Schizosaccharomyces pombe: one gene and its partner. The protein of the gene in region 2 interacts with the protein of the main gene of each other region in a pairwise test. Each region holds a gene or a part of one and is shown on either strand. Other genes may lie near its edges.

Region 1 (6,138 bases), on a different chromosome or scaffold from region 2:
AACATGGATGGTTTGACTAAGGGTGTGACAAAGGATTTTAATTCTTATTTTGTTGATTGGCTAGGCATGGGAAACTCGTCAAGACCGCCTTTCGATATCAAGGGGCAAACCGCTTCAGAGAAGGTCGAAGAAACAGAGAGGTTTTTCACTGAGTCATTAGAAACATGGAGAATCGGTCATGGTATCGAGAAAATGATCCTTGTGGGCCATAGTATGGGAGGTTATTTGTCTGCTGTCTACGCCATGCAATATCCGGAACGTGTTGAGAAACTCTTACTAGTTAGTCCAGTTGCCATTCCTGAAAACCCTTTTGCAAGCAACGATGATGCGGAAGTTTACAATTCCGTTGCTTCCTCTGCTGTGCATGCTGTTATGGATGAACCTCCTTTAAGTAATGTTACTAATGAGGTTCTGCAAACCCAAGAGGAAACTACAGGTTTAGAGCCTTCCCGGCCAAGCAAGCCAAAGAATCCTCTTCCAAGATTTATCACCTTCTTATGGGAGCAAAATGTTACACCATTTTCTCTACTTCGTTTAAGCGGGCCTTTAGGTCCTAAACTAATGAGTTTTTGGTCTAGCAGAAGGTTTTCAACGCTTCCCCCGGAAACGTTTAGGGCATTACATAATTACTGCTACTCAATATTTCGTCTCAAGGGTTCCAGCGAGTATGCACTTGGCAATTTGCTCGCTCCCGGAGCTTTCGCTAGACGATGTATTATGAATCGCTTGCGCATGTTGAAGTGTCGAACTATATTCATGTATGGAGATAAAGATTGGATGGATGATGTTGCTGGTTTAGAAGCGACAAACAGATTGAAGGAGATGAATATTGAGGCGGAGCACCACATAATTTCAAATGCTGGTCACCATTGCTATCTTGATAACCCTGAAGATTTTAATGAGATTGTACTAAAGGAGATACGAATGAGTTTACGTTCTTTTTCTTCGATTTCAGAGTAAATTTTTATTTTTTATGCCCTTCGCTTAGTGCTTCATTATTTTTATTTATTCTTTCTTGTCCTGCAAACTATCCCATGTGATGCTGTTATAGACCTCATTCATTAATTTATACTACACATTATTCTTTGGATTCCAATTGAACGACTTTTTTTTACCTAACTTTTTATCGGTCCATTTTGAATCGATTTTTATTGCATTGACGCTCATTTGCTTCATTTATCGCAATTTTATTTTTTTGTCCGATTACTTGTCCAGCATGTGTTTTCAAATGTTTTATTTTTAAAATGTGCCTTATAAATCAAATTTTGTAATATTTGTAGGCCATTTACTACAATTAGCTTATAAAGTAAATAACAGTTTTTGTGGTTGTCTATTTTAAATTCTATCCTATAGAGTAATTGGAAAAATACATTTTTCTTGCTCTAAGCTTTTCAAACGTGAAGCATATTTCGTACTTCTAAATTTCAATTCAAACAGAGCATTCAACGGTAATGTATACTATTGCGCTTAAACTTGTATCTACTCTCCCTTCTTTATGTTTAATGAAGATATAAATTATAAACATCATACAGTATTACAAAAATTTATTGTAGGGTATTGCAATTGTATTCGTTGTTCTAAGACTTCTCTACTCTAAGTTGCCGTTTCCTGATGGACTGTGTGTTTCCATTACCCTCCACAAGTTATGCTCTTTTCATATTATTTCGAAAATTTTACTTTTTAATTCTTTTTTAAAACTAAAATATATATTTTTTCTATTTTATTTCTTTTTTAAGCGTAAAAACCGAACCTTTTAAAAAACTCCTTGGATTAAACTTTCGCTTTGATTACCATCTGCAACTGCAAAACCAGTAAGCGATTTTGCAAGGTAAAGATCGCAATACATGGTTCAAAAGGTTTTAAGCCGTCAATCGGATAACTCTCAGGATGTGTCTGCTGAACAGCTTGATGTAGTGGAATCCGGTAGCATTGATCAGCAAAATATACGTGCATGGGTTGTTCGCAAAGTCAAAGAAAATGATAAAAGGACATCTACGAACCAAAGTTTTAAATGGGAAGCTGTAAAACCGGCTTCTTGTCTAGATGCTGCGAATGAAAAATTCATGTACTTACATGGAGGACGAGAAAAATCTGGTATTTCAAACTCTTTGTTTAAGTTGGACCTGGATTCATGCACGGTTTATTCTCACAATAGAGGGGAAGACAATGATTCTCCTGCTCGAGTTGGTCATTCTATCGTTTGTTCTGCTGACACTATTTATCTTTTCGGAGGATGCGACTCAGAAACAGATTCCACATTTGAAGTTGGCGATAATTCATTGTACGCATACAATTTCAAGAGTAATCAATGGAATTTGGTTTCAACACAGTCCCCCTTACCATCGCCTCGCACTGGACATTCTATGTTGTTAGTTGACTCTAAATTATGGATATTTGGGGGTGAATGTCAAGGAAAATATTTGAATGATATACATTTGTTTGATACCAAAGGGGTTGATCGGAGGACGCAATCAGAACTCAAGCAAAAGGCAAATGCAAATAATGTTGAAAAGGCTAATATGGAATTTGATGAGACTGATTGGTCATGGGAAACACCGTTTTTGCATAGCTCATCCCCTCCACCTCGTTCAAATCACTCAGTTACTCTTGTCCAAGGAAAAATATTTGTACATGGAGGGCATAATGATACTGGTCCATTAAGTGATCTTTGGCTTTTTGATTTAGAAACACTTTCATGGACCGAGGTTCGTTCTATAGGAAGATTTCCAGGTCCGCGGGAAGGTCATCAAGCTACTACAATAGATGACACGGTTTACATTTATGGTGGTCGTGATAATAAAGGGTTGATACTCAACGAGCTTTGGGCTTTTAATTATAGTCAACAGCGGTGGTCCTTAGTCTCAAATCCGATCCCTATTTTGCTTTCTGATTCATCTTCATACAAAATTGTTTCAAAAAACAATCATATTTTACTATTATATCTTAATGCACTTGACGCTCCTAAGCAACTGTTATGTTATGAAGCAGATCCCAAAAATTTGTATTGGGATAAGGATAAATTTTCTGATATTCCTGTTCTTCAGCATATTAGCATGAAACCTTCAAATGCTTCAAACCACACGGTTTCTCTTGGTTACCTAAACGACCGTCCTAATCATTCCAAAAAGAATTCTGTGACATCCACCTCGTCTAGTCAATTTAACAATTTTTTGGAGCAAAATCAAAAAGCCGTAAGATCAGCTAGGCATCGGCACTATGCTAGCTTGGATGAACAAGGATTACATTCTTTGAGAAACCTTAGTAAAACCTCTGGAATGAATCATTCAGCAGATTTCTCTCTTCACGAGTTTGGGCAAGCTGACCCCTTTGCTTACGAAATTGAGAAACCTATTGCGTCTCTTCCTTTACCTAATGGAAACGATACTATTTCTAGGTCTTCCGAATCTTCATCTCCAATCAACGAAAGTGAAAGTAATTCTCTGCTTAAACTCCAATCAGATTTTAAGTTTTCTAATTCTGATGATCGTGTAGCTTGGCTTGAGGAGCAACTGTTATATTGTATGCAACAAGGCTATACTCTCAAACCTCCTAACCTGTTTCAACACGTTGATGAAAAATTGAGGCTTGAGAAAAAAGAGCAGCTCAGTTATTTGGAAATACTGAAGGTGATTGAGCAAATGCTTGAATCTAATGAACAAAAGTTTAAAAAGCAAATCGTTAGCCTAGCATCTGAAAACGCAAAATTGGCTGCTCAGAGAGATGCTGCCGTGGAAAATGCAAATTATTCACGTTCACTGATCCAGAAAAAGACAACGGACGAAACTGTTGGATCTTTAATAGAAAAAGTTGGAAAGTTAGAGTACGAAGTTCAAGGGACTCTTGAAGAGGCAACCTCTTATTATCAAAAAAATACTGAACTTCAACAGTTATTGAAGCAAAATGAATCCGCTTCTGAACTCTTAAAATCTCGAAATGAGAAACTTTGTGTAGATTATGATAAACTTCGTAGTGTGTTTGAAGAAGATTCATCAAAAATACTATCTTTACAAAAAGAAAATGAAAACCTACAATCACAGATATTGCAAATTTCAGAAGAGTTAGTCGATTATCGTTCTCGTTGCGAGGCTTTGGAGTATGGAAATTATGAGCTGGAAACGAAGCTAATTGAGATGCATGATCGAGTGGAGATGCAGACAAATGTGATTGAAGCATCCGCTAGTGCTCTTGATGTGTCCAATACTGCCATATTGTCTTTTGAAGATTCGCTCCGTAGAGAAAGGGATGAGAAAAGTACGTTGCAACAGAAGTGCTTAAATTTACAGTACGAATATGAGAATGTTCGGATTGAGTTGGAAAATTTGCAATCTCGTGCGCTAGAGTTGGAGTCAGCCTTAGAACAATCAGTGTCTGATGCTAAATACTCGAAAGCTATAATGCAAAGCGGATTATCAAAGTTATTATCTTCTATTAACGAAAATAAAGATAATCTTAAAGAGTTTTCGAAGTCGAAACAAAAGATCTCCTACTTGGAGTCTCAGCTAGAAGGGCTTCACGAGTTGTTACGTGAGTCCCAGAGACTTTGTGAGGGTCGCACTAAAGAGCTACTAAATTCTCAGCAAAAGCTCTATGATCTAAAGCATTCATATTCCTCTGTAATGACAGAGAAAAGTAAACTTTCTGATCAGGTCAATGATCTTACCGAGCAAGCAAAAATTACTCAGCGTAAGCTCTCTGAGGTACAAATTGCATTGGCTGATTCAAAAATGAATCAACAGTTATCAGGAAAGGACTCTACTGACGTTCATCTTCCTACGGACTTTTCAGCTTCCTCCTCTCCCTTAAGATCATACTTTAACGAAGAGGATTCATTCAATAATGCTAGTGCTGCACATAGTTCAAAAGAATCTGACATACCTTCTGGTGGTGTGTTTACAAAATATCGTAATCATTTTGGTAATTTGATGACATCTGAAGAAACAAAAGCCCCGGATAACAATGATTTACATAAAAGACTTTCTGATGTTATCAACAGTCAGCAAAAATTTTTGTCTTTGTCCCCTCAGGTATCTAAAGATTATTATGATGTTCGCTCAAAACTAAATGATACCGCGGGCTCATTTTCAGGTGAAGAAATGCGTGCAATTGATGATAATTACTATGCCAGTCGTATTAAGCAACTGGAGGATGATTATCAAAAAGCCATAACATATGCCAATTGCTCAGATGAGTCATTTCAGCAGCTTAGTCATTCATTTATGTAACTCTATTCATCAACTAAGGATTTTTTATCTCTTTTTTGGTTTGTACAATTTTCTTAATAATTTTTTGAAGTGGTTTGATTTTTTCTACTTAATCTCAAGTCGTTTGACTACGTATGTAAATTACCACTATATTTAACAATAAAATACGCAATTATTTCTACTGCATTTACATTGACTCATTTATATTTTAAAAAGTAATGAAATTTAATTAACTTTTAAAAAGTAAGAGAAAATTTAAAGTATTAGATTGATGAGGATACTCTCAAGTGCAAATTACTAAACTGGTATTAAATGCTAATTCCTTAACCACGCGAACAAAGCATATGATGAATTACGTAGAAATAATTAAAACAAACAAAGACCTGCAAAAAACCATTAAAGATTCATCCATTTTTTTCAAGGGTCAAATTTGAAGTTTGCTCTGCAGTATGCGAAGACTGCTCAGAGACATTAGTAGGGCCTAGCAGTTCCGTCCAACTCAAAAACGTAGGAGCCGTCCATTGTTTATCAACTTCCAAATTGAGAACTGGATCCGGTAGAAAAGTTTCAGGTGTGAGCAAACTGGGTTGGTTACTAACATAACTTTTGTTTAGACCCGGAACATTATAGAGAGATGATGTTTGGTCAAAAGGTTGGAATGCTTCGTTTGGAGTACTATTACTACCATTTGAGCTTTCTCCTGTAAGCTTAAAGGTAGAAAGCATGTCTCCATGTGACATATCTCCCACCCAGGATTGCCAATTTTGAAAACTATTTTGGAAATCTGCAATCGGATTATTAATGTCTGGGGCATTGCGCCTAGATAACTGTTTGTTAAATGACTTAAGGTAGTTTAGACTTTCTCTAGCAAATTCACACCTTGAACTCAGAAATTCCAATACCTGCCATAATTTTGTGACTACAGCTTGAATATCCT
Region 2 (5,851 bases):
ATGATAGTTTTTGGGAGTAGAGGAGGGATGTATAATATCAGGCTGCTGGTCGTAGTTCGGAATTACGGATCTCAGAGTAGACTCCATTTGTTCTAATCTAGAAACGAGCGACTTAATGTACATTTGTCTCTGACCTGTTCTTCTTTTAGGTCTAGCTGTAAATACGCATGGGATTCCGTGACTAACGCAATTCGAACATGCAGGTTGCTTTCCATCACAGCGAATCTTCCTTTTTCTACACATGTCACAAGCTCTAGGAATTCTTTTTGGTTTCCCCATGTTATCCCCGTGGCGAGGTGAGTCTTCCTCCGGCGATGCTGATTTCAAATTTTCCATCCGGTAACAATTTTTTCAATGTACAAGTGCAACGACAGTCGATTAGCAAATATTAAGATATGCCAAAGATATTAAAAAATAGAATAAAAAAGCCAATCACTTAGCAATACCTACAATATAGGACGTTCGTTTTCTGAGTAGTTAAAATGTGCGGGTCCAAAAAATGTTCCTTAAAAAGTATTTTCAGTAAGCGATTTATTATGAAATAAAGCTTTCATTTATAAATTAAGCACCAATTATTCGTTTTTAACAATTCCGATAAAAATTTTTAACCAAGTTGTGTTAGTCACGTTGATGCGTGTAGATTACTATATCAATCCGATTTTACGAAACTTATCGTGCTGAGCAATTGGGAATAAATGTAGAAAAAATACAGAAGCTCATTAATTTTGATGAAAGTCGTTCAAATTTTGATTTAATTTCATTATTAAATACTGAAATTAAATAATCAAAATAGTTTTTGCGAACAAAAACTAAGTTATACAGGTAGGTACATTTACCACATACCTGAGGGGTAGCATTAGAAAAACAGAACGAAAAGTTACATAAATTAAAAATAAAGCTTTTTGTTTTCTTTGGAAACGGATCAAAATTGAATTAAGACGGATCGGAGGAAGTCCGAAGTCCGACTTCTCAAAAAACATCTCATCCCTACATTGCAAACATAAAAGTTCGACACTAGATTTCAGAAAGCTTTTGCGAAAAAGAAAATTAAAAAAAAGCTTTTTCAATTTAATTTTGCTTTCATAAACTCGCCAAACTCCAAAAGCTATAAATTATAAGTTCCAACTTACCAATGACTGTAAATCAGTGAGGTGAAATAAATTGCTTTTTCTTTTAATGGTCTGTCGTTCATTCATAACACCGATTTAAATGAACAAAAGAAAAAAAAATCCTTTTGTTCTATTTGTCGTACAAAGTAATTCATGCCCAGTCTAAAATAAAGTGAAGTTCGTAGAGAAAAAGAAATGTGGGACAAGCAAGACTATCCTTTGTTAAACCAAATAGAAATTTAAAAGTTCCTCAAGAATATGCCATTTAACCTCCAAGATCGGATATCCAGGTTAAAGAGATCTGAAAACCATGACCAATCGAACCCGGTATAAATTAGTATGAGTTAACGCGATATGCACCACATGAGTTCAACGTTTCTAGTTTTCATTATTCGAAAAAATATGAAATTCTTCCTGCTAAAACACTATACTAAATGTTCATATGTTATTATTGTTCAAAAAACAAGGCAAAAAATTTAACATAACGCTCCACAATAAAAAAAAGATTTGAAACATGTAATTCTAGAGGTTATGTGTATCCCAATCAACGTTAATGATAACACGTGTCTTGAAATGAGTATGCATTAAAACGGAAATATAATATGGATATAAGCAGACAGGAAAGTACGCACGTGAACAACCATTAAATTAATTCCTTCAAGTATTACGATTTCCTTTGGATATCTGAATCCTTCATAGACACATGCTTTCGACGCCAATCCTTAAAATATTAAAAAAAACAAAAATAAATTTTACATCAAAATACAACAAAACTTCTCTAATTTGGAACCTTTCTTTTTAGGAGGTTTTTCACTTTTTTCAGAAGGTTTTTCTTTAGGTACTGGTGTTGCACTAGCAGCTGGTTGTGTATAGTCTCTGGTTACATGAGGTGGCATTTCAGATTCGTGGACACTCAAAGAATTCTGAATTGACGGAGCAGCTGGAGGATCTGGTGACCCATCACCAAGGGCGGGTACAGAAGCCGAAGGCAAAGGTGAGCTTCTTGAGTAAGTAGGTCGTTTCGGTGAAACTTGAGGTGTAGGAGTTAAATTGGCGTAGTTAGGTTGGTTCAAATTCACAGTGGAATCATTGGCATCCGATTGAGGAATATCTGACTCCTGCTCATCTTCAGTATTGGTGGAAGTAAAACGTGGAAATGGACTCCCAGTATTCGGTTGAGGTTGAAAAGAACGCATTGATTGAGAAATGGCTTCCGAAGATGCTGTACTAGCGTTGTCTTCAGAATGAGTGTCTACATCATATACAATAGGAGAATCACTCCTCGAAATGCGATTCGGTGTTGATTGCGTCTGCGCGCCAACCTGGAAAGGTCGATCTGCATCATTGTAGGAAGATTGAAAAGACGATTTACGAGATTCAGAATCGGTTTCTGCAACCTTCTTGGGATTTTGAGAAGGCGAATAAGTAACGGCGGCTTTGAGAGACTCATATTCAACTGAAGAAGCAGGTACGGGAGACGACATATCTGGCACAGATACAGGTCGAGCCTTCGCGGAAGAAGAAGAAGAAGCTGGCGTTTCATTGGCAGGTGGTGAATATGGCTGCAACGGCCAAGCAGAATTCTTAACGTTTAATTTTGGCAACGTTATGTCCTTTGGCGGATTTTCCAAATGCGACACAGCGCGCATCGTATTTTTGGATAACTGAGCAATGGATCGTTCCAAGCGTCCCATAGTAAAATTCAACCTAGAATCCAAGGTCGAAGTATCAATTAATGCTGGAGATGCGCTTTTTGTCCTATAAGAGTATCTTCCCGGACGAGATGAGTCCTGTGATGCTTCCAATATTCTCCTTCGGCGCTCACTTCCAATGTCAAAGGTTCGAAAATTACTATTAAAAGATGATCTAGCTCCCTTGGCTGTTTCAGAGGGAGATCCTTCAATGCTAATATCCTCTGACGTTGAACCATTGGCACTTCTTTTTGGAGATTTAGACGCGCTTCTCTTTACATTAAACCCAGAAAACGTATTGGGAGAAAAAGACTTGTGGTAATTACTTGGAATATAAATACTACCTGCTGTAACAGGACGAGCATATCGATTTACGTATGCATCTCCGTCTGGATCTAGTACACTTGAACCAGTATCTTGCTTGCTGCTTGGCAATGGTAAAGAAAGACCTCGTTCAAAACTATCGGTATTATTTCTCCGGATAGCAGGAGTAGAAGGAGCACTTGTACCTACATTTCTATTATCGAATTGAAATCCGACGGTAGTGTTTGGTCGAGGTTTTTTTGATATCTAATCATTAATGCCAGCAAGCTGAACCCTTAACTAGTGAAAAGGGGGCAGCCCAAGCAACACTTGTTAGCAAATCATTATTTCAAACAGGCAAGATAGGGTAGTACTCGGAAAGAAAGGCTCCATTCAACAAATTGAACAGCTGCAATTTGCGTACAGGTGCAACTTTCATGTCTTACATAAAGAATAAGAGAAACTACCTCTGATCTTCTTAAAAAATTAGCATACCTCGGATGTCTCAGGTCTCCAAAAAGAAGGAATAGCAGGGCTTTCAGATAAAGCCGACATGCAATCAAATAAAAGAAAAAGATCAATTAGAGCCAAAAAAGAGAGTAAAAAGAATATCCAAAACTGGGAATTGGGAAACCGGTGTTTGGCTAACAATTAGTAGTACGCGGATCGCGACGCTAATTTCCTCAGTTGAGCTGGTATCGTGTTAAATATTTTGTAAAAGAATATTTCCCTCTTTTTAGTAATGTTCATGGAACAATTGGTGAAAAACATAATATTAAAAGGTCACAAGAAAATTTTTATAGCTAAAATATTCTTTTAAAAATAATTCGAGCAAGTTCTCAGGCAGGTGTAGGAAATAGATGGATATTTAATAGAAATTACCCTTGAGAGCAAATAGAGCTGATTCCTTTATCCATGTAAGATGGAAACATAACTTTTGACGTCCCCAAGAACATGCACTCTTAGATAGGTAAGCACATCAGTGATGGAGTAAGTGTTGATATATCCAGGTATTGCAGACGAGTAACAATAATGAAAGTTGAAATGGAGAATTGTTTACAGCATGATATCCTGTTCTTCAATTTTTATGCAATTTGAGTCCCCAACAATTGAATCGATCAAATGGGAGAACCCACTAAATTATTGAAGAGTATTTTGAAAAAATAGTTGAGGTATAAAATACCCAAGAATTCAACCATTAAACGATAAAATCAACCGAGAATGCGCTTTTGCTGATATGAATTTATATGAAACTTCTTCTTTGCTTTTCAGAATAAAGTTATACATACAAATAAACAATTATTTACGCCGAAAGCAATCAAAGATCCTTAGAGTATTACTTATTCTCTTAAAAAAAATTAGAGCATTACTACTTCTGGTTAAAGTCAGATTCACACTTTGTTCAATTATCAAACACATCCCATGGATTGCTTTTTTCGGTACCTTCCTTGTCAAAGAAACAAAAATTAAACTTAAAAAGAGAAAAAACAAGATCTTTACGAAACTGAATTAGTTTAATTTGATGCATGAACGTAAATGATAACTAGATATTTGAGGTCAACATGTCAGTCTACTGCAGCAGAAGTTTTAACAAAAACAAAAAGAATAAGATTTTGGCAACAAACAGCTTTTTTTTTTTTTAATTATCATTTTTCGGACTTATCATGTTTGTATAGGAGAAACTCACATTTCAAAGAATTCATAACACTATCATCTCCACAACCTACATAGTAACCACCAAATGCGAAATTGGTTCGAGAGCAACTCACCAATTTAAAACATCCTCTCTCTTATCTAGCAATTAAATTTTTATATACCAGTTCCTTCATTTACCAAGGAAATCTGATAAAGACCCAGACTTATTTAGTCTTGCTTATTGACCGGTTTATCACTTCTTCATTCATTTGACTTTAGGAAAAAGCATCGAGAAATCAACATGTCTTTTTTTACCCAGTTGTGTTCTATGGATAAAAAATATTGGATCTCTCTAGCTGTATTGTCAGTTACTGTTTTGATTAGCGCATTATTGAAAAAGAGAGCTACTGAAACCGAAGATATTGTCGTTGTTCATTACGATGGCGAAAAGTTGAATTTTGTGTTGCGACAACCAAGGCTGAATATGGTTTCTTACACTAGTTTTCTTCGTCGCGTGTGCAACGCATTTTCAGTAATGCCCGACAAAGCGTCTCTCAAGTTAAACGGGGTGACCCTCAAGGATGGTTCACTTTCCGACCAAAATGTGCAAAATGGAAGTGAATTAGAGCTCGAATTACCCAAACTGAGCCCGGCAATGCAACAAATTGAAGCATATATAGATGAGCTTCAACAGGATCTCGTCCCTAAAATTGAAGCCTTCTGCCAATCGTCTCCCGCTTCGGCACAAGATGTTCAAGATTTGCATACACGCCTTAGTGAAACATTGTTGGCTAGGATGATAAAATTAGATGCTGTTAATGTTGAAGACGACCCAGAAGCTCGTCTTAAAAGAAAAGAAGCTATTCGTTTATCTCAACAATATTTGAGTAAACTAGATTCCACCAAGAATCAAAACAAATGAAAAATGTGTTATAATTTAACAATTCTTAGTTGCTTGGGAGACGATGGTTCCGTCGGCTATGGTTTTTTGGATATGTAAAAACTGATTGACTAAACAACTCCTACAATATTTTTCCGTTTCTAACAACTTCTATACCAAGGTTCTGCAAACAACTTGTAGCACCCAATTTTAAGTTTTTATGCTGGCTTGAA

The links.
Region 1: the proteins of mod5 (region 2) and tea3 interact in binary tests that used the Schizosaccharomyces pombe proteins (3 or more experiments, as listed by UniProt).

What each region holds. Positions count from the first base shown.
Region 1 is NC_003424.3:3,213,774-3,219,911, reverse strand, and holds tea3 (cell end marker Tea3), read left to right. Parts: upstream 1-1,638; 5' UTR 1,639-1,844; coding exon 1,845-5,222; 3' UTR 5,223-5,399; downstream 5,400-6,138. Other genes in the region: cardiolipin-specific phospholipase Cld1, read left to right, coding at 1-960; DNA-binding transcription factor Thi1, read right to left, coding at 5,606-6,138. UniProt on the Schizosaccharomyces pombe protein: Acts as a cell end marker required for efficient new end take-off (NETO), whereby growth is activated at the cell end to generate bipolarity in extending cells. Also required for proper placement of the septum.
Region 2 is NC_003423.3:791,068-796,918, reverse strand, and holds mod5 (Tea1-anchoring protein Mod5), read right to left. Parts: upstream 3,753-5,851; 5' UTR 3,659-3,752; coding exon 3,599-3,658; exon of another isoform or gene 3,371-3,598; coding exon 1,862-3,370; 3' UTR 605-1,861; downstream 1-604. Other genes in the region: prt1 (transcription factor), read right to left, coding at 1-336; BAG family molecular chaperone regulator Bag102, read left to right, coding at 5,040-5,660. UniProt on the Schizosaccharomyces pombe protein: With tea1, acts in a positive-feedback loop in the microtubule-mediated regulation of cell polarity. Involved in the anchoring of tea1 at the cortex as well as the correct localization of tea3.